Rattus norvegicus: one gene and its partners. The protein of the gene in region 5 purifies or fractionates together with the protein of the main gene of each other region. This does not show direct contact. Links are inferred from orthologs where the notes say so. Each region holds a gene or a part of one and is shown on either strand. Other genes may lie near its edges. The genes, in order: Fkbp5, Paf1, Ddx5, Ddx21, Cdk9, Cdc37 and Hsp90ab1.

Evidence for each region.
Region 1: the proteins of Cdk9 (region 5) and Fkbp5 purify together in Homo sapiens (affinity purification with mass spectrometry; 10 studies listed by BioGRID and IntAct, counting the BioPlex papers as one, with this or other methods). This does not show direct contact. The link is inferred for Rattus norvegicus from reciprocal best matches to the Homo sapiens genes CDK9 and FKBP5.
Region 2: the proteins of Cdk9 (region 5) and Paf1 purify together in Homo sapiens (affinity purification with western blotting; 3 studies listed by BioGRID and IntAct, with this or other methods). This does not show direct contact. The link is inferred for Rattus norvegicus from reciprocal best matches to the Homo sapiens genes CDK9 and PAF1.
Region 3: the proteins of Cdk9 (region 5) and Ddx5 purify together in Homo sapiens (affinity purification with western blotting; 3 studies listed by BioGRID, with this or other methods). This does not show direct contact. The link is inferred for Rattus norvegicus from reciprocal best matches to the Homo sapiens genes CDK9 and DDX5.
Region 4: the proteins of Cdk9 (region 5) and Ddx21 purify together in Homo sapiens (affinity purification with mass spectrometry; 3 studies listed by BioGRID and IntAct, with this or other methods). This does not show direct contact. The link is inferred for Rattus norvegicus from reciprocal best matches to the Homo sapiens genes CDK9 and DDX21.
Region 6: the proteins of Cdk9 (region 5) and Cdc37 purify together in Homo sapiens (affinity purification with mass spectrometry; 9 studies listed by BioGRID and IntAct, counting the BioPlex papers as one, with this or other methods). This does not show direct contact. The link is inferred for Rattus norvegicus from reciprocal best matches to the Homo sapiens genes CDK9 and CDC37.
Region 7: the proteins of Cdk9 (region 5) and Hsp90ab1 purify together in Homo sapiens (affinity purification with mass spectrometry; 6 studies listed by BioGRID and IntAct, counting the BioPlex papers as one, with this or other methods). This does not show direct contact. The link is inferred for Rattus norvegicus from reciprocal best matches to the Homo sapiens genes CDK9 and HSP90AB1.

What each region holds. Positions count from the first base shown.
Region 1 is NC_086038.1:6,540,756-6,544,886, forward strand, and holds the start of Fkbp5 (peptidyl-prolyl cis-trans isomerase FKBP5), read right to left. Parts: upstream 2,801-4,131; 5' UTR 2,714-2,800; intron 2,663-2,713; exon of another isoform or gene 2,165-2,662; coding exon of another isoform or gene 2,138-2,164; intron 1-2,137. UniProt on the Homo sapiens protein: Immunophilin protein with PPIase and co-chaperone activities. Component of unligated steroid receptors heterocomplexes through interaction with heat-shock protein 90 (HSP90).
Region 2 is NC_086019.1:92,814,197-92,817,275, reverse strand, and holds the end of Paf1 (RNA polymerase II-associated factor 1 homolog), read right to left. Parts: intron 2,922-3,079; coding exon 2,805-2,921; intron 2,704-2,804; coding exon 2,575-2,703; intron 1,426-2,574; coding exon 1,320-1,425; intron 1,226-1,319; coding exon 1,135-1,225; coding exon of another isoform or gene 1,060-1,134; coding exon 635-1,059; 3' UTR 501-634; downstream 1-500. UniProt on the Homo sapiens protein: Component of the PAF1 complex (PAF1C) which has multiple functions during transcription by RNA polymerase II and is implicated in regulation of development and maintenance of embryonic stem cell pluripotency.
Region 3 is NC_086028.1:92,223,893-92,226,410, forward strand, and holds the end of Ddx5 (probable ATP-dependent RNA helicase DDX5), read right to left. Parts: intron 1,693-2,518; exon of another isoform or gene 1,627-1,692; coding exon 1,402-1,626; intron 1,212-1,401; coding exon 805-1,211; 3' UTR 501-804; downstream 1-500. UniProt on the Homo sapiens protein: Involved in the alternative regulation of pre-mRNA splicing; its RNA helicase activity is necessary for increasing tau exon 10 inclusion and occurs in a RBM4-dependent manner. Binds to the tau pre-mRNA in the stem-loop region downstream of exon 10.
Region 4 is NC_086038.1:31,080,239-31,083,738, forward strand, and holds part of Ddx21 (nucleolar RNA helicase 2), read right to left. Parts: coding exon 3,484-3,500; intron 2,387-3,483; coding exon 2,227-2,386; intron 1,380-2,226; coding exon 1,245-1,379; intron 1-1,244.
Region 5 is NC_086021.1:36,396,217-36,400,151, forward strand, and holds the start of Cdk9 (cyclin-dependent kinase 9), read right to left. Parts: upstream 2,801-3,935; 5' UTR 2,757-2,800; coding exon 2,665-2,756; intron 2,217-2,664; coding exon 2,135-2,216; intron 821-2,134; coding exon 730-820; intron 352-729; coding exon 185-351; intron 74-184; coding exon 1-73. UniProt on the Homo sapiens protein: Protein kinase involved in the regulation of transcription.
Region 6 is NC_086026.1:27,964,131-27,968,100, forward strand, and holds the start of Cdc37 (hsp90 co-chaperone Cdc37), read right to left. Parts: upstream 2,801-3,970; 5' UTR 2,691-2,800; coding exon 2,589-2,690; intron 1-2,588. UniProt on the Homo sapiens protein: Co-chaperone that binds to numerous kinases and promotes their interaction with the Hsp90 complex, resulting in stabilization and promotion of their activity. Inhibits HSP90AA1 ATPase activity.
Region 7 is NC_086027.1:22,929,132-22,933,222, reverse strand, and holds the start of Hsp90ab1 (heat shock protein HSP 90-beta), read right to left. Parts: upstream 2,801-4,091; 5' UTR 2,756-2,800; intron 1,531-2,755; coding exon 1,384-1,530; intron 1,211-1,383; coding exon 1,004-1,210; intron 791-1,003; coding exon 631-790; intron 362-630; coding exon 1-361. UniProt on the Homo sapiens protein: Molecular chaperone that promotes the maturation, structural maintenance and proper regulation of specific target proteins involved for instance in cell cycle control and signal transduction. Undergoes a functional cycle linked to its ATPase activity.

The DNA of each region.
Region 1 (4,131 bases), on a different chromosome or scaffold from region 5:
AGGAACTAACGACACAATACACATTCTTTTCCAGCCCAAGAATAAAGAAAATCTTCAAAAGTAACTGGGGCTGGAGAGATGGCTCAGCGGTAAGAGCACCCGACTGCTCTTCCAGAGGTCATGAGTTCAATTCCCAGCAACCACATGGTGGCTCACAACCATCTGTAAAGAGATCTGATACCCTCTTCTGGTGTATCTGAAGACAGCTACAGTGTATTTATATATAATAAATAAATAAATCTTTAAAAACAAAAAAAAAAAGTAACTGACTTGCCCAATCCCGAACCCTAGGCTTTTCATGTTGAGGTGGTTTAAACTGTCTTTAAAAAGAAATGCTGGCTGGTGATACTGCTCAGCGGAGGAAAGAGCCTACAAACCAAACCACCGGAACTGGAAGTCCAGGACCCACACACGGCAAGAGGAAAACTCCAAAGCTGTTCTCTGACAACCACACCTGTGCCAAGTTCTCTCACAAACACTGACCGAAAGATAAAATCTAAAAAGTGACTAGAGAAACATCCTTTTGTTAAATGTTGGAATGACAAAAGCCCCACTAATGAATCTATTGTGTTAAAACAATTTGCAGAAAATATTCCTGGATTAACTTAAAATTACCTCAAGTGGCTGGGCAGTGGTGGTGAACACCTTTAGTCCCAGCTCTGGGAGGTAGAGGCAGGGGGAATCTCTGAGATGAAGGACAGCCTGGTCTCCCGAGTGAGTTCCAGGACAGCCAGTGCTACACAGAGAAAGCCTGTCTCAAAAAACGAAGCAAAATTAAAAAATAATAATAATAATCTCAAGTGGTCCCAACTAATAGCTAACTCAAATTAGCTAGATGAATAAAATGATTGTTCAATTAATTAGTGTAATTAAATAAAAATTAACTGTGCTCTGAAGTTCAACATCTCTGAAGTATAGATTATATCCAAGGCAGTTACCACACATGACACATCAGAAGACAAAGGGGAGAACACTAATTGGAGTGTTTCTAACAAACAATATTACTATTAACCTTTGTACTTAAAAACAGCTAAAGCACCCCATTTCTGTAGAACCCCCCAAAGTGAAAGCTGTTAAAAAAGAGTGTTAGGTTACAGAACTTTATGTATGTTTTAATGGAATAGTAAACTCCCAGTAACAAAGGAATAAAACTTTGATATTTCAAATACCAAACAAAACAAAAAATACCGCGCACGCGTACACACACAAACACACACACACACACACACACACACACACACACACACACACAAAGCATGTTGGGCAAATGAGGAACAGGTTGGAGAGTAACAGAAAACAGTTAAGTGAAAGTATTACAGGGTAAGAATGTCCCACCAGAATAAGATTTTTCTCCCCCAAGTCATTTCTTGAATTGATTCAGACACCACGAGGAAAAGCTACAATTTTGTAACAACAACACATAAAGCTAACAGCAAGAAGTGGGAAGGAAGAGGCAAAACACTTAACCCAAGCACACCTTAACCCTTCCCTTGTTCACAACCCTGTGAAAATAGAGACAATGGAAACAGACACTCTCTCCCACCCCTAGAGAAAGCAAAGAAAGCGCCCATTCGACGCCCAGCCCTAGTTCTCTGGAATACACACTCCTGAAAGGGAAAAAAAAAAAAATCCCCAAACCACCAGCTCCCAACTGCCGCATGCAGAATTTACTGAATGGCGGCCAAGCGCTGTACACACTGTCCCGAGCCCCGCCGAGGGCTGTCCCAAGTTCTGCACGCTCTGCTTACGATCTGTACCTTCTTCCAACGCGTTCGCCACGGTTGCAGACACCAATGATTTAAAAAACGAGGCGCAAGCGCCCCACCTGGCTCATCCACAGGCGAAGATGAGGAGGAGGAAGATGATCACAATGCATTGGGCTCCCTTAGATTCATCCCTCCAACACACACAAAATGCTGCGTTTGGAGTCATGCACTATGGCCGGAACAGGAGTGGTGATAATCGCTGGGCCGAAGGGAATGAAGACTCCTAAAATAACTTTTATTTCCTTAGTATTATTGAGAGGGGGTGGGGTGGTGAGAGATGAGCGTGTGCATCAGAGTCAGAGGTGTGTGTTTGTGTTGTGTACACGTGGAGGTCAGAGGACAACTCGCGGGAGTCGGTTCGCCTTACCCACCATGTCAGTTCCGGGGATCGAACCCATGTCGTGTCACGCTTGGCTGCAAGCGCCGGTACCCGCTCAGCCACCTCAGAGGCCCGAACAGCAACTTTTAATTGGCCCTTCCTCCTCCGGACCTCCGAGGCCCTCGGGTCACCTGCCTGCCTGGTGCGAGCCGGCTCGGGAGCGGCAGGTGAGGGCGGTGCCCGGCCGGCACGCCCATCGCGCGGCCCCGCGGACGCGGCGAGGCGCTCCGTTATCCGCGAGGCTCGCAGGGCTCCGGAAGGCCAAGTTTCCTCCGCGTCCGGAGGGCGGCGTGGCGGAGCGACACGGGGCTCCCCGGACCTGTGGGCTGCGCGGGAAACAAAAGCCGCGCGCGGGCGAGAGAGCCGGCGCCGCGCTGAGGGGGACGCTGGTGAGGGGCGCCGGCCGCTCCGCCACCCACGCGGGGCCCAGGCCTCCCGCACGCCCCGTCCACGCCACCCCAGGGAAGCCGCGCTAGGGGCGGCAGAAGCGGGACCGCGAGCACGGGGCCGGCTCCCGGGTCCGCCGCGCGCGCGCGCGCACCATCCCCGCGGCCAATGGCGCCCGTACCTGTCGCCGCCGCCGCCGCCGCCACTGCGTCCCTCGCTTCGCGTCTCTCCGCCGCGCGCGCCGCTCAGCCCGCCCAGCAGGCCGCCGCTCCGTCCGCACGCTCGCTCGCTCGCTCAGCCGCGCGCCGGACACCGCCGCCGGAGACTGGCAGCGCCCGCAAGCCGGCTAGTGCGCCGGGCAGCGCCCGCCGTCGTCCCGCCCCCGCCGGCCGCAGGACCCGCCTCCCATAGGGCCGCGGGGCTGTCAATCCGCCCCCAAAAGGCGCGCGGGCTACCGCTCCGCCGGTCCTGATTGGTGGCCGCGCACTGTCTATGCAAATGAGCCTCCGCCCCGTTCGTTTGCATCCCCGCCTCTTCACCGCGGCCCACGTGTCTGGCCCTTGCCCTTTGTGGGGGCCGGAGAGGAGGGATGGAGGAAGCTGACTGATACCTCTTCTCGTTTGCCTCCAGACAGAATACGGACCAGACAAGCGCCTACCTCGTCCGTCTGTCTACCCAGCCCGTCCTTCACGAGGCCGCAGAGGTCAGGCCATGCTGACCCCGGGAAAATAACCTCATGAACTTAAAGATGCTCCTTTAGAGACTGGGAAGAATCCGATCTAGCACCTCTCTCTGGACACCCAGTGGGCGTGAAGACCACGCTTTCCCTTGGGATCTCTGCCTCTGCAACACAGCAGGTAATGAGGTCAGAAAAGAACCCAAAGGATGGGCTGTTGAGCCAAGTTCAGCTTCAAGATGGCACCCCTTCCCCCACCAACTCGCCACCTCTGGGTGACTCCTCAGACGCTCAGATGCTGCACCTTGGGACTTCAGCTCTAACTGTTGGTTTCTTAAAAGATTTTTAGAAGAACGTTTGTGATGAGTGTTTTGCCTAAGGAGGGTGTGTCTGTGTGTGTGTGTGTGTGTGTGTGTGTGTGTGTGTGTGTGTGTGTGTGTGTATCCTGTGAGTGCAGTGCCCAGAAGAGGGCGTCGGATCCCCTGTCACTGGAGTTGTAAGCATCCTGTGCTCTCCCAGAGGCTGGGAAAGCAACCAGCAAGTGCCAGTGCTCATAACAGCTAGGGATCTCTCCAGACACACACACACACACACACACACTCTCTCTCTCTCTCTCTCTCTCTCTCTCTCTCTCTCTCTCTCTCTGGGAGTAAAAGTCCCAATTGCCTATGAAATGTCTTGTAGCCATGTGAGAATCCATGTTTCCTGGTTCCACGTCTGCTTTTTGTTTTAGTTTTGGTTTAATTTGTATTGTCACACTTTAGAACTCAGGAAGATAAATGCCCCCGTGTATGGTGATATATATCAAATGTCTAAATGTCACCATGTGGGTGATCATATGGTCCTTCTTTCCCTATCCTCCAAGACGACTGTGGAAAAGACAAAACTGGTGTAAAGACCCCTGTCTAAGACAGGGGTCCTCC
Region 2 (3,079 bases), on a different chromosome or scaffold from region 5:
TAGTCTTGTCTTGTTCACTTCCCATCAGGGTTACTGACTCTGCCTGGCACTGGAAGGTGATGAGGGATATCCTCCCCAAGAGGGAGGTGAGAGCTTCCCACCCACCTGACAGCAGAGTGCAGGACGCAGGCGGCCCTACTCTGACAGGCAGGACCCTGACCCTCCCACCCTCCATCCCCCTCTGTGGTTTCACCCTACCCTGCCCACTTCTGTCCCCAGCCCCACTGGCAGAATCAGCTTTGAGTAACTGTACATTTTTCTCGCTGTTGGAGAAGACTTATTTGTTGGAGTTTCAATTGTTAATGGTCTGGGCTTATTTTGGAAAACAAAAAAACAAAAACAAAAAACAAAAAAGACTCTAATTTCTCATTTATGATGCACTTCCTGGGAAATCCAATGGGGACTTGATTTTGTGCTTCAAGTGGAGAACCTTGAGCACTGGGGTGGGGGTGGGGGTGCGAAGATGACATGAAGGGGAACAGAAGCTCTGGGAGATGAAGTCCAGAGAAGTTAGATTTATTAACAGCAAAGATTGAAGGGTAGGGACAAAGGGCTCACAAAACAGACAACTAGAAAAGTGCTTCCCTGCCCTAAGAATGGTGTCTGTGCTGACCTCATTAGAAGGTCTTGAGGCTCAGTCACTGTCACTGTCAGCCTCACTGGAATCAGAAGCTGCAGCTTCACTGCCATCTTCCTGAGCTGAGTGTTCACTACCACTGGGGAAGGGGCTGGCACTCCGGCTACGACTCCTGCTCTGGCTGCGGCTCCGCTGGCCACCACCATCACTGCCACTGTCCGAGTCATTATCACTGCCCCTGTGGGCCTGCCCTCTGTCTTCATCATCAGAGTCAGCATCATCTTCTGAATCAGCATCACTACCGAAAATCTCCTCTTTGTCCCGGGCAGCACGTGCTTCGTCCTCGCTGCTCTCATCCTCACCGCTGCCACTCTTGTCACTTGCCTCATCCCTGTCACCCTCCTCTCGATCACTCTCACTGCCAGAGCGCTCATCCTCGCTGCCTTCCTTTTCGCTGCTGCTGCCCTTCTCATGTTCCTCATCTGTGAGGAAGTAGGCACTGGTGAGATTCCATTGCCCACCCTCCCAGGGCTCCCAGGATGTGACCAGTCCTTTACCTGAGCCTCCAGCTTCTTTCTCTTCAGCCTCCATCTCCTCCTCCTCCTCTTCCTCTGGTTCGTGGTTTTCCAACTGGGCCTTGCGTGCCTCCTGGAGTCAGCAAATTGGGAAGAAGATGGAAGACTTCTAACCCTGTCCTCACTCACTACACTCCCTTTGGGTATTCTGGGACAGTAGAACTTACCTGGGCTTCTAATTCCTTCTCATTCATGTCACGGTGTTTGACCACAAGCAAGGCATTGGTACCCGACTGAACCCCAGCCTTGGCCCGGCGCTTACTGAGACGGACCCTGCAGTGGACAATTGCAGAAGGGGAGTTAGGCTCCACTGGGACCAGTCTAACTTGACACCTAGTTCCCTATCAATAATCTGACCCACAGCATACCAGAAAACAAAGTATACATACAGTGAACGTGAAAGATGGTATTACGGGTTTGATTTACCCAACTTTTAAGTTTTTTGGATTTTTCTTGTTTCAAGATTTTAAGTGAATGGGTGTTTTGCATGTTGTATGTATAGTACCCCAAGAAGCCACAAGAGGGCATCAGATTCTTTGGGCAAAACTGTCTAAGTGGGAACTGGGATACGAACTGGGGTCTTCTAGAAGAGTAGCCAGGGTTGGGGATTTAGCTCAGTGGTAGAGCGCTTGGCCCTGGGTTCGGTCCCCAGCTCCGAAAAACAGAAAAGAAAAAAAGAAAAACAAACATCCTAGAAGAGTAGCCAGTAGTTATTTGGGTTTCTGGCTTTTAAATAGAAAAGCATTGGATTGCAGCTGAATTGTAGTACTCACTAACGGTGTTGTCACTGTCTGTTTTCACATCTCCAGCCATATTGAACAGAAACTCAAACCACAGGCCCTAGGACAAGTTAGCTTTCAGCCCTCAAAAGAAAGGTTCTGAGGTAACACTCTTGAAGTTTTTGTCAACTATTTAAAACCTGAAGGCCTGGAGGAGATGGTTCAGTTGGTAAAGTGCCATGGGGGAACAGGAAAGAGTAACTTCACCCAAGTTATCCTCTAACCTCCTCATGCATGCACACAAAATAAGAGCAACAAAGGAAAGCTGATTCAATCTCTGGCTCCAGTATGTACACACATGAACAGAAAAATGACTAGGTTTACATCCTACATTGTGTGAAAATTTTCTTTGTGGTTTATAGTACTAGGAACAGAGAGCCAAGTCCAGCCTACATTTTTTTTTTTTTTTTTTTTTTGTTCTTTTTTCCGGAGCTGGGGACCGAACCCAGGGCCTTGCGCTTCCTAGGTAAGCGCTCTACCACTGAGCTAAATCCCCAGCCCCCCAGCCTACATTAATAAGCAGGGTCCTGCTGCTCTCTCAGATACATAAAACAAATATTTAGGTACAAATGACTTCAGAGTAGTTCATTCATGGTCTCAAAAAACAAAAACAAACAAAAAAACCCACAACAGTGCTGAGTACCTGGTCTCTAGCTCATTGTAGTAGACACCATCACCCTCTCTGAAGATGAAGAAGTAGTTTTCCTCGTAGCCCTTACTGGCCTTGTTCTTCACATTCCAGTTATATTCTCGAGCAATCTTGTAGTCATACCTGGGAAGAAGGTACACAGTCAGCCCATTGGTTATAGAGGAGTAAAGGAAACATACTTCTGAATTCTAAAGCCTCACTAACCCTAACCCTAACCCACTTACACATCATCTGGTGCATAGTCCATCTCTTCCTCTTGGTCCCGCTTTCGTTTTTTTAGTGTCTCTTCCACAGGCAGAAAATAAGCCACAAACTGGTTCCCTTCCTCATCCATCATGCCCCTGGTTTGGGGGAAAAGAGAGTAAAGGTCAAAAGCAAAGTAACAAAGCTGGGTGTGGTGACACATGCCTGTACATTCAACATTCCAGAGATTGAGGCAAGAGGAATGCAAGGAGCCTAGAGGTCAGCCTGGGCAACGGAACCATAACCTATGTCAAAA
Region 3 (2,518 bases), on a different chromosome or scaffold from region 5:
TAAGCACTCTGGCAAGTCTGCTAGGACTAGAAATACAAGGTAACCTGCACTAAGGACACAGTGCACAGCTCTTGGGCTAACAGTCTTTCAGCTTTGTGCATTTTGGCAGTTGACAATAAAGCCAAGAGATGGAATAAATTTGATAAAGCAAAATGTCCACTTAAAACTTCTGCAAGAGTCACCATGTTACTTATATACAGTTCCTGTCCTGTAGCTCACTCTTAAGGAAAATAGGCTATTAAACGACTTACTTCCCTGATACTGAAAACTACTGACAAAGCTTCTTATGCAATTAATCTAGAATTATAAAATCCATTGTTTCTAAATTCTTCCCATACAAAGGGCCTTCTGAGTTCCTCTCCTAAACCAAGGAATGGGAAGTAGTCAACTTTAGTTGTGTAAAAATAAACACCAAAACAAAAATCCCCCCAAAAACATACTATCTAAGCCAAGTTTTACATGACATTATATATGTAAAATAAAGTACAATTTCCACTTAATTCAGTCTTCAAATATCTTTTATTGGAAGGCCATGCATTGCCTTCATTTATTGTATTTGAAATCACTGTACAGTTACTTTTGTGAAAACACTGCCTGCATTTTCTAGTACAAAAAAAACCTAAAAATTGTTTCAGGAATGTAGAGAAATATCCAACTTAAATAGCGAAAAAAGTGCACCATAATTACTGCTGCACTGCAGTCATTTCTGCATTTCCCATGTTTCTTAAATAACTATCTTGTCTGATAACACACAATATAAAGAGCAATTATGAAAAACAGACATTTACATATACTTCTAAAGTCTTATTGAGAATACCCTGTTGGCATTGGATAGCCAATCATAGGCGCAGCAGCTGCGGTAGCAGGATATGCATATGCCTGTTGGTTCATCCCATTGTGCATATTTGCAACATTACTTCCATATTGCTGAGTGCTATCATAACCGTTCTGGTAAGTCCCTGTTGGGTTACCAGTCCTAAAACTGGTCTGTATGCCAGCAGATACAAAATTACTTCCAAAGCTCCCATTGGTGTAATTTGCAGCACTGTAAACACCATTCTGAGTTTTAGCCCCAAAATCTCTCTTAAGCAGACTAGAGTAGCCTCTGTCATAGTTTTCCCTGTCTCTAAAGGTATTAAATCCACCCCTTTTCCCTGCAGAGTATCTGTCACGACGATCATCCTTCATGCCTCCTCTACCCCTGGAACGACCTGTCAAGAAAATAAGTAGAAATTGATCACCTTACCCATGGCATAGTGTGAGATAGCTCTATTTATGCTGGGTCTTAAGATTTCTTAGTTTCAAAATAAAAACTAACTCAGTCCTTAAATCCCACTCCGTAGACGTAGACAAGAGGTGACTGTCAACAATCCCGTAACATCTCTCATGGAAGATTCTTACCTGAACCTCTGTCTTCGACCAACTGAAGCAACTTGGGATTAATTGCTTGATTGGCTTCCCGAAGCACAGAGATGAGGTCGCTCACTTGCTTTATGTTATTGGGAGTAAAGAAAGTGTATGCTGTGCCTGTTTTGGTACTGCGAGCAGTTCTTCCAATTCGATGAATATAATCCTCTGAGGAGTTAGGGTAGTCATAATTGATGACAAATTTCACATCTTCCACATCTGTAAGGTGTTGCAGTGTGGCAAAATAGCAATGTACGGAGTTTTGCACACCACAACAGCCAGACCAAAAATAAAAAGTTAGACAATTGTATTCCCAAGAAGGTACGGGCTGAAAAAAATACAGTTAAAATGGTTATCCATTTCCTGTAGGAACACCATTGAGGTAGAAAAAGGGCAGGGTAGGAAAAACAAAAAAAAAAAACAAGAAAAAAAAAAAAAGCACATGTCAGCTGTCTTAACACCCACCCACTGACAGCCTATCAAGGGAATGTGTGTTCTCCTTAGCACATTCCCAAATTGACAGTCCCCTTACAGATCATCAAGTGACATCTGAATGCTTCTGCGCAGTAGGGCCAATTAAAAGTTTCACAGCAATCTCTTCGTGTGCTCATTTTGAGGACCTTTAAACAAAAAGGTGAAGGTCCTTTGCTTTACACTCAATTCTGGCCACACTGCTTGTCTTGCCAAGACCTTACAACTGCAGCTGCAAGAAAAACATACCTGTCCCCCAAAAGTTGTTTTAATGCACTGTGTCTCGTCTAGGCAAGCGCTTCCAAGAAGCCAGGATTCACTTGAGAATGTGTCTCTCTCTGGCAGGTCTCGACATGACGACTACTGTGTAGGTGAGGGAGGAACTTTCAAGGCACTTTCTTTTCCCACTGACTATGTGTGAGAAGTTGGTCCTGCTCTAGGTCTCATGTGCCAGTACTCACCAATTTGTAAAAGGCTTAGTACCTTTTAAAGCTGCTCTCTCCATTTCATACTTGAACAAAAATTTCATTGAACATTGAAGTTTGGAAATATTTCTTCGACATTTCAGCAAACTCACTGAAACTCAAAGACCCACAGATCACAGTGAACAGTTTGAAACAATGCTGTACCATGGCAATCA
Region 4 (3,500 bases), on a different chromosome or scaffold from region 5:
ATTCAGGTGTCTAGAGGTGTTGCCCGAGTAGGTCACAGGCTTGAGGACGTCCATTGTAAGCAATCACACCAGGGTGATGCCCCAAGAACTCCGCCATACAGGTTGAGGACTAGGAAACTGCACTGAGAGTCTGAGCTCAGGCTTAAAGAACAGTGGAGTGGAAGACTCTGTAAGCAGCTGTGGTCGTTTGAATATGATTGCTCCATGGGAAGTGGCACTATTAGGAGGGATGGCCATGTTGGACAAAGTGTCTTTGAGGTCTCCAAATGCTCAAGCTCCTCCCAGTGCAGAAGAAAAACTCTCCTCCTGGCTGCCTTTGGATCAAGATTTAGAACTCTCGGCTCCTCCAGCACCAAGTCTGCCCCCACACTGCACAGTTCCCACCATGAAGATAATGGACTGTAAGCAGCCCCAATTAAATGTTCACCTTTATATAAAAGTTGCATTGGTCACGGTGTCTTTTCACGGCAATGAAAGCCTATGACAGTAACCAAGGTCAGCTTCCACTGGGAATAAGGTACAGAGTGTTCGGTATCCTGCCCTACAGGGTGCTACAGGGTGGCTGATACAAGTTTACCCTCAGCTTTTGGAAGATGGTTCATGGTTTCCCTGATCAGGCATTACCCACCCCGCAAACACCTTTACCTAATACTAGGCTCTGGGATTTTTTCCATGTGCATCCATGTGTACATGTATGTCTGTGTGACCATATCTCCAATAATACTTATCTGACCTTTTTATTCTCATTTTCCCATAAAGTTAGCGATACCTTAACATTTTGGGTGCTAAGTAACTTTAAGTTTCCGGGCGGGAGAGATGGCTCGAAGGTTAAGAACACTGACTGCTGTTCCAGAGGTCCTGAGTTCAATTCCCAGCAACCACATGCTGGCTCACAACCATCTGTAATGATATCTGATGCCCTCTTCTGGGGTGTCTGAAAACAGCTACAGTGTACTCATAGATAATAAATAAATATCTTTTAAAAAAAAGTAGCCTTCAAACTTCAAAAGTAGTTTCAAACTTGAACTCAAAATCTCGAAGTGACGTAAGCTACTTTATGGTGATGGCAGGGAAGCAGCTGGGTGCTGGGGTCAGGCACTGTGTGCAGCTTAGGCTGGGGACAGCACTGAGGATGACTGTGAAGAGGAAGGAGATGCATCACCCCACCAAGCAGGGAGAGGACACACCCCGGTCATCCGGCTAACCTCCGGGGTAAGATGAGGGTCCTGGAGGCTGGCACTCACCAGTTTTCCTTTGAGGAAGACCATCCCCTTCACTTTGGCATCGATGCTCTCACCCAGCTGCTCCTTAAGTTCTTTCCAGGCATAACTAATGTTGGGCATCTCAACAGAACACCGCAGGATCATGGTCACAAAGCCCTTAGGGGAGAAAGGCGCAGAAACTTGGAAACCAATCGGCACCATAAGCTCTGCTCTGGGTGGGGAGGGAAGGCTTTCCAGAGAATCTCTCCCGGAGAGCTCACCTCCCAGCCATAGTGCTGGGGCAGTCCTAGAAGACTGTTGGGAGTACCAATGTCAGCACCCAGTCCTTAGCTTTCTAAAGGATCTGCACTGGAGGGGACTGGTTGAGCACAGGGAAGTGATCGCCATTGTACTTCTTATGCCACGTGGGGCTACAATCAATAGGCACATGGAATTCAATGTGTCAAAGGAACTCACCACTGCAGCCTTCAAGTCAGTGCATTTTAACTCAGTTTTATCACTTGTTTTCTTTGTTTGTTTGAGACAGGCTTTCTCTGTGTAGCCCTGCCTGTTCCACTAGGCTGGCCTCGAACTCACAGAAATCCATAATCTCCAGCCTCCTGAGTGCTGGGATTATAGGCGGGCACAACCTCACTCAGCTATAATTTTAGCATACTTTAATTCTCTTATTTGTCTGTGTAGAGGCCAGGGATCAGGTTCAGAAATCTGTTCTCGGGCTGGAGAGATGGCTCATTCCTGCTGAGTTTCACTGACCCTTCATTTAAAAATAAAAAAAAAAAAAAATTGAAGTAAACTATTACCCATAGTAGTTAGTGTTGTTTCTCCTTCCAATCTACCCCTGGGAAACACTCATCTATTCTGCCCCATTGACTTTGGTTTTAATTAGGAAAATGGCGAAACACAGCCAGTGCCTTCCTACCTAAAGAAGGGGGAAGTCAATCAGGAAGTTCAAATGAACTCTTCTAGTTTGCTTAATCCGCCTTATAAAGTGCCCAAACCTTACCGCTTGTGAGTTGATTAGGGAGCGCTGGTCCACCGATGTGGCCCCCGAGATGTGGGCCAGAGCTGCGGCCAGGGCCTCTACAGCTCCCTTCTCCTCGATCAGCTTCTCAGCCGACTGCTTGAAATGGCCAATAGCAGTGGGAGGCACAGAATCCAAGAGCCTGTGTGTGAGAGGGAACTTTTCAGAGGCTAAGACGAAGAACACCTCAGTAACAGAAGAAATGAGCTTAGGAATGGGCATCAGCACGCTAGGGTGTGGCCACACCAGCACGAAGAGGTCCCGGGTTCAATTCCTAGCACTTCATAAGCTAGAGGCGATGCCACATTCCCAGCACTGAGGAGGTGGAGGCAGGAGGGCCTGAAGTTCAAGGCCTTCTACTAGCATGAGTTCCAGTACTCTCGGGATACAGGACACGATCGCTCCATAGTGCCTTCATTGTGCCCTGTGGGATAAGACTTTAACACATCTGCCTGGAACCTGCCACGCAGAGCAGGATGGTCTCTAACTCATGGCTATCCTCCTGCTGGGATTCCAGACACGTGTCACCATGCCCGGCCCACATTTGGCCTTTAAATGAGAGAATATAAAGTATTTAACTCAAAGAAAACAGTGATCACTAGTAAGACTGTGCTACTTTTAGAAGCAGACAAAAGCACAGCCAGTTTCACATTTTCCCAAAGTGCTCCACATGAGGTCTCAGAACACTGTACTTGCTGGAGGCTGGCCATGGTCTCAGCCACAACAAATCAGCATGTCGCTTTGCCAAGTCAGGTGAGCTGTACTGGCAACGGGCTGACATTCCACATGATATCTCTTCCCACTACTGGAATGGGCCTCTCCTTCCTGGTCACCAAGCCCATATTTCCTGAACTAGTTAATTAGTTCTTCACAGTACCCCATCTCAGGGCTCTTATGGAAAATGTGCTACGATAAAATCAACTTAAAAATACGGTTTGGGAAGGCTCTCAAGCTCTCCTAGCACTTCCTTTGCCTGTGGACCCCCTTGCTACTTATTACCCATTCGAACTATGTGCTTCAGTAGAAACCAACTTCCTACCAAATCCAGGGTCATCATGGTTATCAGCCACCATGTGGCTGCTGGGAATTGAACTCAGGACCTCTGGAAGAGCAGCCAGTGCCCTTAACCTGACCCATCTCCCCAGTCCCGTATTAACTCCTCATAAGCACTAAAACAAGACACACTGAAGGTTCAAGAAGCAGCACCAACACAGACCTTGGTGGTGGTAAAGACCGTACCTGATTGCGTCTTTGCT
Region 5 (3,935 bases):
CAAAATCTGCCAGCTTTAGGACCCCATCTCGGGTAATGAGCACGTTGGCAGCCTTCATGTCCCTGTGCAGGATCTGCAGGGAGGACGCATGAGAGCTCGGTCAGGTCTCATAGTATCCCAGAGACCCACCCACAAGGCAGTGAAGAGCAAAGAAGCCCCAGTCTGTCCCGGCCCCAGGCCTCACCTTGTTCCTGTGGATGTAGTAGAGGCCATTCAGCAGCATCTGCATTACTCTCTTGATCTCAGACAACGTGAACTTCACTAAGACATTGCTCAGCAGCCCAGCGAGGTCATGCTCACAGAAGTCGAACACCAGATAGATGCTGCCTTTGCAGCGGTTATAGGGTGAAGCTGGTGCAGAATAGGGAGAGAGGGTGGGAGGGAAAATAAAAAACCTGCACCCACCTCATTTTCCACAGCCAACTCCCAGCCCTCCAATCCACAAACACCCAACTCCATCGGAGAAAGCCCGGAGAAGCTGGTGGTCAGTCACTGGTGGTGCATGCCTTTAGCCCTAGCACTAGGGAGGCAGAGGCAGTGTGAGGCTAGCCTGGTCTATGGAGCAAGGTCAAGGACAGCCAGGGCTACACAGGGCAACCCTGTCTCAAAACAAAACAGATCGGGAAGCTGTGTGATCAAGTCAAGTCAGGAGGAGGCATTAAGCACATTTACCTCAGGAGTGCAAGCAAAGGTTTAAGGTTCATTTTATCCCGAGAACGAGCATCGTACCTTTGGTTCGACAAATCTCAATCAGGTTGACCACATTCTCGTGCTTTAGGAGCTGTAGAATCTTGATTTCCCGCAAGGCTGTGATGGGGAACTAGGGAGGAGAAAGAGAGGAAGTGGTCAAAATTGAGAGCAACAGACCCATGAAGTAAAAGTGTGTGTGTGTGTGTGTGTGTGTGTGTGTGTGTGTGTGTGTGTGATCTATACTGAGGGACAGAGGTTGAAAGGCAGGTAAGAGTATAGTTTTTGTGTGACAGACGGTTCCTGTCTGGAATCCAATCCTACTATCAGGAGTCAAATAGAGAGTAGAACTGTCCCAAGTTCAAGGCCAGTCTGGTTAGTTGAGCTCTTGCTTGAGGGGAAAATAAATATATTTATCTGCAACCAGTCTCTGTAAAGCAGAAGGTAAGTGAAAGGACACACACATCTCACTCAAGGAGCTGCTAGATTTTGCCATCTAGACAATGGCGGCTTTGGACTTGTGAACCATCCTTTTTCTTTGGCCTCGTAAATGCTGGAACTACAATCATAGCCCTCTACGCTGGGCCAGGAATTTATTTTAGACAACTCAAATAGGGACAAAATCTTTGGCACTAATGCTTGTGGGTTAAAATCAAGAAATTCCCTGGGTCCAGAGATAGATGAATAGTTAAGCAAACCAGTCCTGGCTAAGAGTGGCAGCCCAAGCCTTTATTCCCAGCACTCCGGGCACAGGCAGTTGACCCTCTGCGAGTCTGAGAACAGCTGGGATACTGAGAGATTTTTGTATTAAACAAGTCTTATGTTGAGTCCCTATTTCAGGGAGACATACACATATGCATGCACACACACATACAACACTGGCTGTTCTTCCGGAGGACCTAGGTTCAATCCCAGCCTCTACATGGTGGATCTTTTTAATTCTAGTCCCAAGTGATCCAAGGCAGCCTAGCATGGTCTCCTCAGGTGCCCAGGTACCAGACAGGCATGCTGTACACAGCCACACCAGAAAACAAGACACGCATAGACAGGAAATAGTCAAACAGCTTTTTCCTTACAAAGAAAACGCTGTACTAAAGCTAAGACGGGGACATCATGCTTCAAAACACGCCTTAAGCTAAGCTGCCTTTTAAATTGCCTGTGCACAAATTGTCCCTTCGTACAAAACAAAATTCGACGCTAAGCTGGAAGTTTTCAAAAACCCCACTTCTAGAGGCAACGTGCACTTTCACGCAAAGCACAGGCTCCCTCACTTGCCTCCCACCGAACTTTGCCACAAAAACTCAAAAGTCTAAGTGGAAAGCCAAATGTCTTGTCACACGGAAAATCGAAAAATACTTGGGTGGAATCTCAGCACAAAACCCTTTTAAGTAGCAGTGTGGAAACCGAGCACAGGTTAGAAGAACTGCCCAGTGGTCCATATACTCACCCCCTCCTTCTCATTCTCCATCAACACTTTCTTCAGAGCCACCTTCTGGCCGGTCTGACGGTGCTTGGCTTTAAATACTTCCCTGCAACACAAAGACCCGAGGGACCCATCAGGCATTTCCGCAGGGACCGCCCCTCCCCCACGCGAAGAGGAGCAGCGGGAGACCAGACACACGGTGGGGTGCGGCCCGGGACTCCTGTAAGCTGTTATTCCACACCACGTGTTTTCTGTCCTTCTCCCAGCCCCTGCTCTTACTCCTACTCGGCTCCCACTCCTCCCCCCAGAGGTGTCCGCTCACAAACTGAGTTCCTCTCAGCAACCCTACCCAACCCCCATCACGGGCCTCAGGCTCCTCCCTGCCAGTCCGCTCGGTTAGGCCGGGAGCGTCTGCGGCGCGGCCTAGCAAGACCAGGCAACAATCAAGGAAATAGAAGCTTCCGTACCACCTCGGGCCCCGGCCCTGAACGACCCGATATAGGCCATGGAAAGTGCAGGTCCTGGGCTACCGGTCCCACGCGGCCTAATCTTACCCGAATGTGCCTTGGCCGATCTTGGCAAGTTTCTCGTACTTGGTGACCTCATCGCAAAACGGGCATTCCACTGAGTCGTACTGCTTGGCCATGGCCGCCTCCAGCGCGCCGCCGCCGCCGCCGCCGCCGCCGCCGCCCCCAGCCGCAGCTCCCGCCGCTCCCGGTCCCGCCACACTCCAGGCCCCTCCGCGGCCGCGCCACTTCCGCCTCCAAGGCCACTTCCGGCCTCGAGGTGCCGAGCCCGCCTCTTCCGGTCTCCGCCCGCCGCCAGGCCCCCTGGGACTTGTAGTTCCCGGGAGGCCAGGGGGAGCCGGAGCTGCAGAGGAGCCTCCGCCGCCGCCACTGCCCCCGCCTGCGCCGCCGCCGCTAGTGCTGTTGGCGGCCCCGATCGGGGGCGCAGGGAGCCGTGGCGCTGGGGCTGGGGCTCGTGGCGGTGCGTCCCGCTGCATTGGCCCGGGCCGTGCTGCTGCCGAAGCTGCTGCCGCTCTGGCTCCCGATCCGGGGCCAGCCGCAGTGCCCTGCTCCTCCTCCTCCGACGGCGCCGCCTCCGCCGGGCTGCGCGGGGCGACGGGTGGGGGTGTGGGGAAGGCCTGGGGGCGGGGGCTCCCTGGCCAAACCCGGCCCGGGGCGGCCAGGAAAGGGGGCGAGATAGCAAGAGCAGACGAGGAGGCGGCCCGAGAGCCCGGGAGGGGGCGCGTTATAAAGGGGGAGGTCCCCGTCCTGGCCTCCCCTCCCCCTCCCGCCCCCTCCCTCCTCCTCCCACCCTCCGCGGCCGCACCTGCCGCCGCCGCCTCCCGCCCTCCCGCTCCCAGTCCAGCGTCCGCCCTCGGCGCGTCACTGCTAGCAGCCCCTCCTCTGCGTTTGGAGGTGGGGCTCCGCACTAGACACCTGCCTGCGGCGCCCTGCTGCGTGCCTCAGTTTACCCCCCTAATGCCAGCTGCCACAGAAGGGCCCTTCTTCCAGGGCTGGGAGTGTGCTCCCAGTGAGGCGAAGGCAGGAGGTGCCGAGGGAGCGGCCTGAGGCCCGGGGAAGAGAGAACTGCCCCCGCTGCCGCCTCCGCCGTCTCAGCCACCCGCCGTTGACATGGCAACTGACGGCCGCCAGGGGGCGCGGCGACGCTCAGGCCTAAACCCTGGATCCTGTGTGGTCAGGAAGGCAAGGATGGATCTACTGCCTTCCTTCACAGAGCTGCGGCTAAGCTGGTCTGTCCTGCGTCAATCATCCCAAAAATGGTTAAAATTGAACAGGCACTCCTGCGCGTTTTTGAAATG
Region 6 (3,970 bases), on a different chromosome or scaffold from region 5:
AAACTGGAAGGAATAGGTGTGTAGGTGGGACTAGAGCTGACTGCTGGATTTGGGGAGGATAGGGAAGGACTTTCGAGGAGTAAAGAGGAGAAGCTTTCCTCAGGAAGGTGGAATGCTAACTGCAGAGTACCTGCCAGCAGCCTGGGAGTGTAACAAGCACAGGGCTGATGAGAGAGCTCAGTGGGTGAAGGCCTGCTACCAACCCTGACGGCCTGAGTTTGATCCCGAGCCCACGTGGGTGGAGAGAACGGATTCCAGCAAGTTATCCTCTGACTGTGACAGGGTAGCGTGGCACATTTACACATACATGAGCATGAACATACACAAATACAATGTAACCTAGACAGAGTAAAGACACACAGGTATGTGGGTACAGATGCTTTAATTTGGGGGGCAGGTTAGGCCACTGTCTCTTTACTGCTGTGCTAGAGATGGAACCCAGGACCTCCTGCATGCTAGAGAGTGCTCTACCACTCAACTACATCTTCAGACCACCCTTACATCTAGGTAGTACACTATGGGCCTGCAGGCAATGCTGGCACAAGAGAGGCGGAAGAGCATGGCTTGCTCACACTTGGGGATCTGACGGTCTCAGTCTAAGGCATCTGTTATGGGCAGATTTAAAACTGTGTAGGACTTTATTTTATCTGCCTAGTGATCGACAGGATTCCCTGAGCCCGTGCCAGCCTCATACTTACTATGTGGCTGATGACTTTGAACTTCTGAGCCTCCTGCTTCTATCTTCTCAGTGCTGAGACTACGGGCCTGCCCCACCATGGCTAGCTTTTAAGCCAGATGGAGCCCAAGGCAATGCTTACAACTGAATTCCAGCCCATTTGGTTTTTGAGACAGGGTCTCACGTAGTCCAGGATAGCCTAGAATTTGCCCTATAGCAAGGATTAACTCTGAATTCCAGATCCTTCTACCTCCACCTCCTAAGACCTGAGTTTACAGGTGTGCTACAATGCTCAGAAAGTAAGGTAATGTTGGAACAAGATCCAGGAGGTGCAGAGTTAAATAGAATGATATGAACCCTCGAGAGGCCAATGAAACTGGAGAGGAAGGGCAGGTAGGACAGGAAGGGTTTGGTTTTCTGGGTTGGGATTGGGTGAGCTGTCTTTTCCTTCTCCTTTCCCCCTTTTCTCCCCTCCCCCACTTTCTTTCTCTGTCCTATCCTGCCACTGGACTCCATGCCTCCAAACAGAGTACCCCTATTTAGCTGTGCTGGAACTCTCTGTAGACCAGGCTGGCCTTGAATTCACAGGCCCGCCTGCCTCTGCTTCCTGAGAGCTGGGATTAAAAGTATGTGTCATCACCATCCGGTTTGGTGAGTATTCAATGATGGCTACAAATCATACAGGAGCCAATGTGGGCAGAATGGGGGTCTACTTACTATACTACTAGGAGCAGAGGTTCTGACCGGAAGTTAAGTGGGTGGGGTTTCCTGGAGTAAGGGGAAATAAGAATCTACAGGAGGTGAAAATAAGGAAAGCCACTAGAATTGGATGATGGGCAAGAGTGGAGCTGGGGGTCAAATAGAGAGGCTAAGGGGGCTCTAACACTGAAGTCCCAAGTGTAGCTCTGGTCTATAACCCAGGGAAATCGATCCTGGACTGGGAATCCCAGCTGCAAACTAAGATTGACCATTAAATTAAGAGCAGGGCACAGCCCTCATTTAGTTTGGAAGTTAGGGGGTTGGGGGTTCGGGGGGTTGTCTCTGGGCCTTAATGGAAATTCGTGCCTAAGATCCTGGGAAGTAGATGCCACAATCAGAACGAAGTTTTATGGATCCAGACTCTAGGGGGTGGGGAGAGGCAGAACGGAGATGTGCAATCAGAAGTGGGTGCATGGCTGGGATATGAGATCACCTAACAAAACCTGGGTCCAGACTCTGAGGAAGAATTCTGAGAACAAAAGGTTCCACAAAGGATGATGGGGACCCTACACACATGGGTCAGCTTCGGAGGTGGGGTGGGGTCTAGACTCTGACTAAAGAGTATTAAGAGCTGATAAAATGACTCAGTGTACAGGTGCTTGTGGCAACTCGGGGTGACCTGAGTTCCACACCCAGTTCCAACGAAGTGAAAAGAGAGGCCCAACTTCTGCAAGTTATCCTGTAATCTTCCTTTGCATGCTGTGCCACGTGCACACAAGAACACACACACAATAAGTAAACGTACAAACAGAAGAGATCCACAGCACAGAGAGAAAGCCCGGAGATACAGATGAAGAATTAGAATGAAGAATCCAGGAGTCCTGGGATTAAAAGGTCCAGCCCAGCATGATGGCACATGTCTTTAACCTCAGCACTGGGAAGGCAGAGGCAAGAGGATCTCCGTGAGTTAGAAACCAGCCTCTTCTATATAGCAAGTTCCAGGCCAGGCAAGACTACCCAGTGAGATTTTGTTTTTAAAAAAAGAAGAAAGAAAAGAAAGGGGGAAAGTCTAGATTGTGGAACAGGAGGCTCTGGATGTCAAGAACTGAGGTCTCCCCCGCCCCCCACGCCAGGCGGCCTGGCTAAGAGGTCAGAACTCTAGAGCGGGGGGTCCCGGGAGTGGGGGGAAGGGGATGAGCGCGCACAGCCCCACCTGGTGCCGCCAGCGGAACAGGCTGGCCGTGTCTATGTTGGGGTGCGTCTCGTCCTCATCGTCCGACACCTCGATGTGATCCCAAACGCTGTAGTCCACCATCTTCGCCTCGGAGGCCCGGACTGGCTCCCGGGTCTCCACACGGCCGGGCGCTGAACAGGGACCCACAAGGGCTAGAGAGTCCGCTCGCCCCGCCCCGCCCCTTCCGCTTCCGCCCAGGGCGCCGCGCACGACGGCCCCGCCCCAGCGTCGGCGCATGACGTTCGTCCTTAGCAACGGGAGTCGGCGGCATTGGCAACCGGAGGTCATCTTTAAAGGGCCAGGAGTACGTGGTGCGGCCTTCTGGAAGTTCCCGCCGAAACCAGACTGAACATCCTTTAGAGACAAAAGGTTAGTCTTGTTGGGCGTGGTGGCCCACGGTAATCCAAGTATGCTAGGGGCGAAAACAGGTGGCTCTCTACAAGTTCTAGTCCAGCCAGGGTACATATTGAGACTGTCAAAAAGTCAAAATTGGCTGGGCAGTGGGGACGCAATCTGGCGGATCCAGGCCAGCCTGGTCTACAGAGTGATTTCTAGGACCGTAAGGGTTGTTACACAAACAAACATTCTAAAAAAAAAATAAGTCAAAATTGAGCCTGGAGAAATGGCTCAATGGTTTGGAGAACTGGCTGGTCCTCCCTCACCTACATGGCGGCTCGTACCTATCTGGTAAGTCCATCTCAGGGTATATTGCGCCCCCTTCTGGCCTTCACCCACACCGAGCATGCATGTGGTACACAGATATACTTGCAGGCAAAATATTAATACGCATAGTTTTTTTTAATGATGTTTGCCCTTAAATAGTTTTTTTCCCCAGACAGGGTCTCACTGTATAGCTCCGGCTGTCCTGGAATTCACTATGTAGACCAGGCTGTCTTCAAATGAACAGATCTTTCTACTTCTGCTTCCCAATGCTGGGGTTAAAGGTGTGCACCACTACACCAGACCTGCCCTTAATTTTTTTTTAAAGATTTATTTATTTATATAAGTACACTGTAGCTGCCTTCAGACACACCAGAAGAGGGCATCAGATCCCATTCCAGATGGTTGTGAGCCACCATGTGGTTGCTGGGATTTGAACTCAGGACCTCTGGAAGAGCTGTCGGTGCTCTTAACCACTGAGCCATCTCTCCAGCCCTGCCCTTAATTTTTAAAAAAATATTTATTTGTTTGTTTGTTTGTTTGTTTTGAGACAGAGTTACTCTATGTAGCCTTGACTTTCCTCAAACTCACTCTATAGAGGAGAATAGCCTTGAACTCAGAGCTGTGACTGCCTCATTCTCCGAAGATTAAGTGCTGGGACTAAAGGCATACAGCAGGACCACCTGGCTAGCTAAATAAAT
Region 7 (4,091 bases), on a different chromosome or scaffold from region 5:
TTTCTGGTCCAGATGGGCTTCGTCTTATTCAGCTCTTCCTGGTCAATGTACTTCTCCTTGATCTTCTTTGTTTTCTTTTTCTTATCTTTGCCGCTGTCATCCTCCTCATCAGATCCCACATCCTCAATCTTAGGCTTCTCCTCATCCTCCTTATCTTCCTCCTCCTTCTCCCCTTTCTCTTCCTCTGCCTCATCATCACTGATCTCCTTCTCGCGTTCCTTCTCCAGATAGAGGGTGATGGGGTAGCCTATGAACTGTGAGTGTTTCTTCACCACCTCCTTGACCCTCCTCTCCTCTAAGTACTCTGTCTGGTCTTCTTTGAGGTGAAGGATCACTTTGGTACCCCGGCCAATGGGCTCACCTACAGAGAGTGAACCAGACATGAAAAACTGCAACTAAAATACTCAACAAACAGGTACACCTCTTTTTTGTTCCTGGTTTCTCAAGCGATCTGTTTCTGCACAGCCCTGGCTTGCCTCAACTCACCCACCACCCGTGTATGCCATGTCCCAAGTGCTGCCATTCACCCCTCAAAAATGTACTTTTATAGAGTACAGTAACTATTAAGGCTGCTTCTTTCTGGCTTTCCCCCAGAGAATTCTACCAACCCAACGTAGACTGCCATCTCACCGTGGTCTGCACGGACAGTGAAGGATCCACCAGCAGAAGACTCCCAGGCATACTGCTCATCATCGTTGTGCTTCGTGATCACAACCACTTTCTCTGCCACCAGGTAGGCAGAGTAGAAGCCGACACCAAACTGCCCAATCATGGAGATGTCTGCACCAGCCTGCAAAGGGTTGTAAGAGAGTGAGCAAAACTGTTCTTGTACAAGCACAACCGCTTGCTGAGCAAGTGTAGTAATCAGTTCAACTTCCAGAATCTAGGCCACAAGTACTTATTAGAAAGACAGACCACACATCCTAGTCTGACAAGTTTTAAATTAGCAAGCCAGAAGCAGTAACAAATTGAGAATGGCATGGGTGGAAGGCCACACACGCACCTGGAGAGCCTCCATGAACGCCTTTGTACCAGACTTAGCAATGGTTCCCAAGTTATTTATGAGGTCAGCCTTGGTCATGCCAATGCCTGTGTCCACCAAAGTCAGCGTGCGTTCCTGAGGGTTGGGGATGATGTCAATCTTCAGCTCTTTCCCGCTGTCCAACTTGGAAGGGTCAGTCAGGCTCTCATACCGAATCTTGTCCAGGGCCTGTAATGTACACGTACACAGCCACTTATTCCATTTATCCAAACAGTTCCTTCTCATCAACTGCTGGATTACTCTAATCACTCCCTGCTTCTCTCTCTCTCTCTCTCTCTCTCACACTCACTCACTCACTCACACTCTTCTGTGGCGTCTTAGAAATTCAACAGAACACTCACATCAGAAGCATTAGAGATCAACTCCCGGAGGAAAATCTCTTTGTTTGAGTAGAAAGTGTTGATGATGAGGGACATCAGCTGGGCAATTTCTGCCTGAAAGGCGAAGGTCTCCACCTCTTCCTCTCCATGGTGCACTTCCTCAGGCATCTAAGAATGAAAGTCTTATTAAAAGTTCAGTTCAAACTTCTTTAATCTGGGTAGTACCCATTCCCAAGACTAGAACCGCCATTTGTTTAAAAAAAGAAAGAAATAAAAGAAAGACCTTAAAGCTACAGTGGCAAGACAAATCAAGAATGGAAAAAAACCCAAAGGATGGCTCTTCAAACTAATGTCCAAATGTCAGACTTTTTGAACGGCATATTAAGAGTTCAGCTCCCTGACTCAGAACAGAACACCTGCCGATATAGTAAAAATCCAGACTGAGTTAACTATACAATAAGATCCCCAATTTCTTCTTCATTCTTCACTGGGGTTAAGTATCAACTTTAACAGAAAGAGCAGCCTCCCGTAAACGGATTTGTGCTCTTCCCCTCGGCAGGGCAAGAAAACCCGAAGCTATAGTTCTGGAAGGACTCAAAGGGCAATTAAATCAGGACAAAGAGGTAAAAAGCTCCACCATGAACGCTGAACTGTGCAGACTTGCATAGGCCCAAACACAAGTAAAATGGTGGCCCAGCCGTCCGGCGACCCGGACATGCGTCGCCAGGAGACTCACGGGGAGGGGGCGCCACTGTAGCCCTCCCACCGCCCCAGCATCCGGGCACTGGGGCGGGGCGCCCGAGGCTTCCAGAACAATCTGAGCTCCCGGGAGGGGAGGAGTAAGGGAGGGACCTAAGAATCTCCCCGTACCTGCTCCCTCCCCGTTTCTCCTCCCACTCCACGGGGAGGGCAGCAGAAAGATCTGGAAAGGGACAAACGCAGTGGGTTCAAGCGTTCCTGCCAACCCTTGTACCCCTCCCCAGAACAAAACACGTTGGGAAACGCGTCCGGGGGAGGTAGCCAGGCCAACCTCGTCTTGCTGAGTCATGCACATAGCAGCCCGCCACCGCGCGGACCCTATGGACCCTGCAGCCGCGCCCGGAAGTGGAGGGCAAACATGGCAGCGTCCCGGGTCGGCGGCTACCACGTGCGGCCGCCCACCACCTGGCCCGGCCGCACCCCCACCTCACGCTCTGGGGAATCCACCGGCCCCGGGGGAGCCTCGCGGTGCAAGCCCGCCGGGGTCCACCATGAGCCACTGGAGACATTCTAGGCACATTATCCCCGCAGACCGCCCAGCCCAACAAGGAGCCTTTAGTTCAGATGAGATGTTGGCGGAGACCCCAGGAAGAAGACCCACGGAGCCGCCAAGTACAGGAGAGCGCGGCCTTACCTTGACGAGAAAGCCGAGTAGTAGTACAGAGCAGGGTGGGCCCGGACCACGTCCGACTCGCACGGCAAGCCTAGGCTGCGCGGGGGTGACTCAAGAGAGCTCCCAAACGCCCCCGACCGCCCTATATAAGGCGAAGCACAGCCCTAGCCCCGCCCTTGGATCCCTCCGCCTTAAAGGAGTGGCTGCCAGCCACGCACCTGCCACCGCCCGCCCACCTTGACGTCATGCTCGCAGACCGGGGAGGGGGCGGGGAAGAGCGGGACCCCGGGCCTGGGCTGCGAGTCAAGGCCAATTCAATAGCGTTTGGTACCCTCATTTCTGCATGAGTAGGACATGTAGCCCTCAAGATGGCCAGGGAGCATGCATATGCTATTAGGGGATGTATCTGCGGCGAATACCCCACGGACTCGCGCAGAAAATTCGATGTAGGCGCTCCCACCCTCAAGAGTCCAGTCCTCAAGGGACTTCTGAAAGAGAACGGAGGTGACCAATTCGGCTGCCATTTTCAGACCCGATCTTACTAGAATGTTCCCTACAAATCGCACATCGAGAGAAAAGGATGATAAGAAATTCGTTGTCCAACTTTAAGGAGTCCCTGATCCCCACCCTCCCCGGTACAGCGAAGCGGCAGGCGGGGAGCAGCTTCTCCGAGGGGAGGGGCGCGGGCCTGGGCTAGCAGGGACTCTTTGGCGGCCTGTGGCGGAAGGAGCAGCAGTGGCGGTGCTTCGATTTCTTCCAGCAGTTTCTAGGCCTGTCTCGGCGGTCTCAACCCCTCCCCCCGAGGCTCCACCTCCCCTGCTGCGGCGGGGGCTGTGTCTTCATCGCCTTTCGGCTGGTTCTTTTTCTCTGCCACGATCTTAACCTGGGGAAATATTTTCCCCAAGTCTCTGTACCATGGGCTACGTTTGTACGACTCGTGGCCCTGGAAGGCCCACATTACTGTGGAGGTGTGGAGCGCAGAGGGGGGAGGGATGGCTGACCTGGATCGGTCACAGGGCACGGGGGCTGTGGGGGTGAGTGACTGCGGACACCTTTCTGTGAACAGAGACGGGAAACCGAACGCTACTGGGTAGAACACTCCCCAACCCTCAGCCTCCCGGGTCGCCCACGTACAAGGCGCGCGGGGACATGTGCCTTCCCTTTGCGAGCACAAGCTGTTTCTCAAGCTGGTTTCGCTTTTCTAGCTAGCCCTCTTCCCTACTGCAGCTCTTTGAACCTAGAGAGGAGGAGGTCACGGTCTTTGCAGATTAACGAGAGCTCTAAGGTATCCGCATGAAGATGCTGGTCACAGGTTGGCCGGGTTCCAGGAGCCAGAACCAAGTTGCACCAGTGTTTT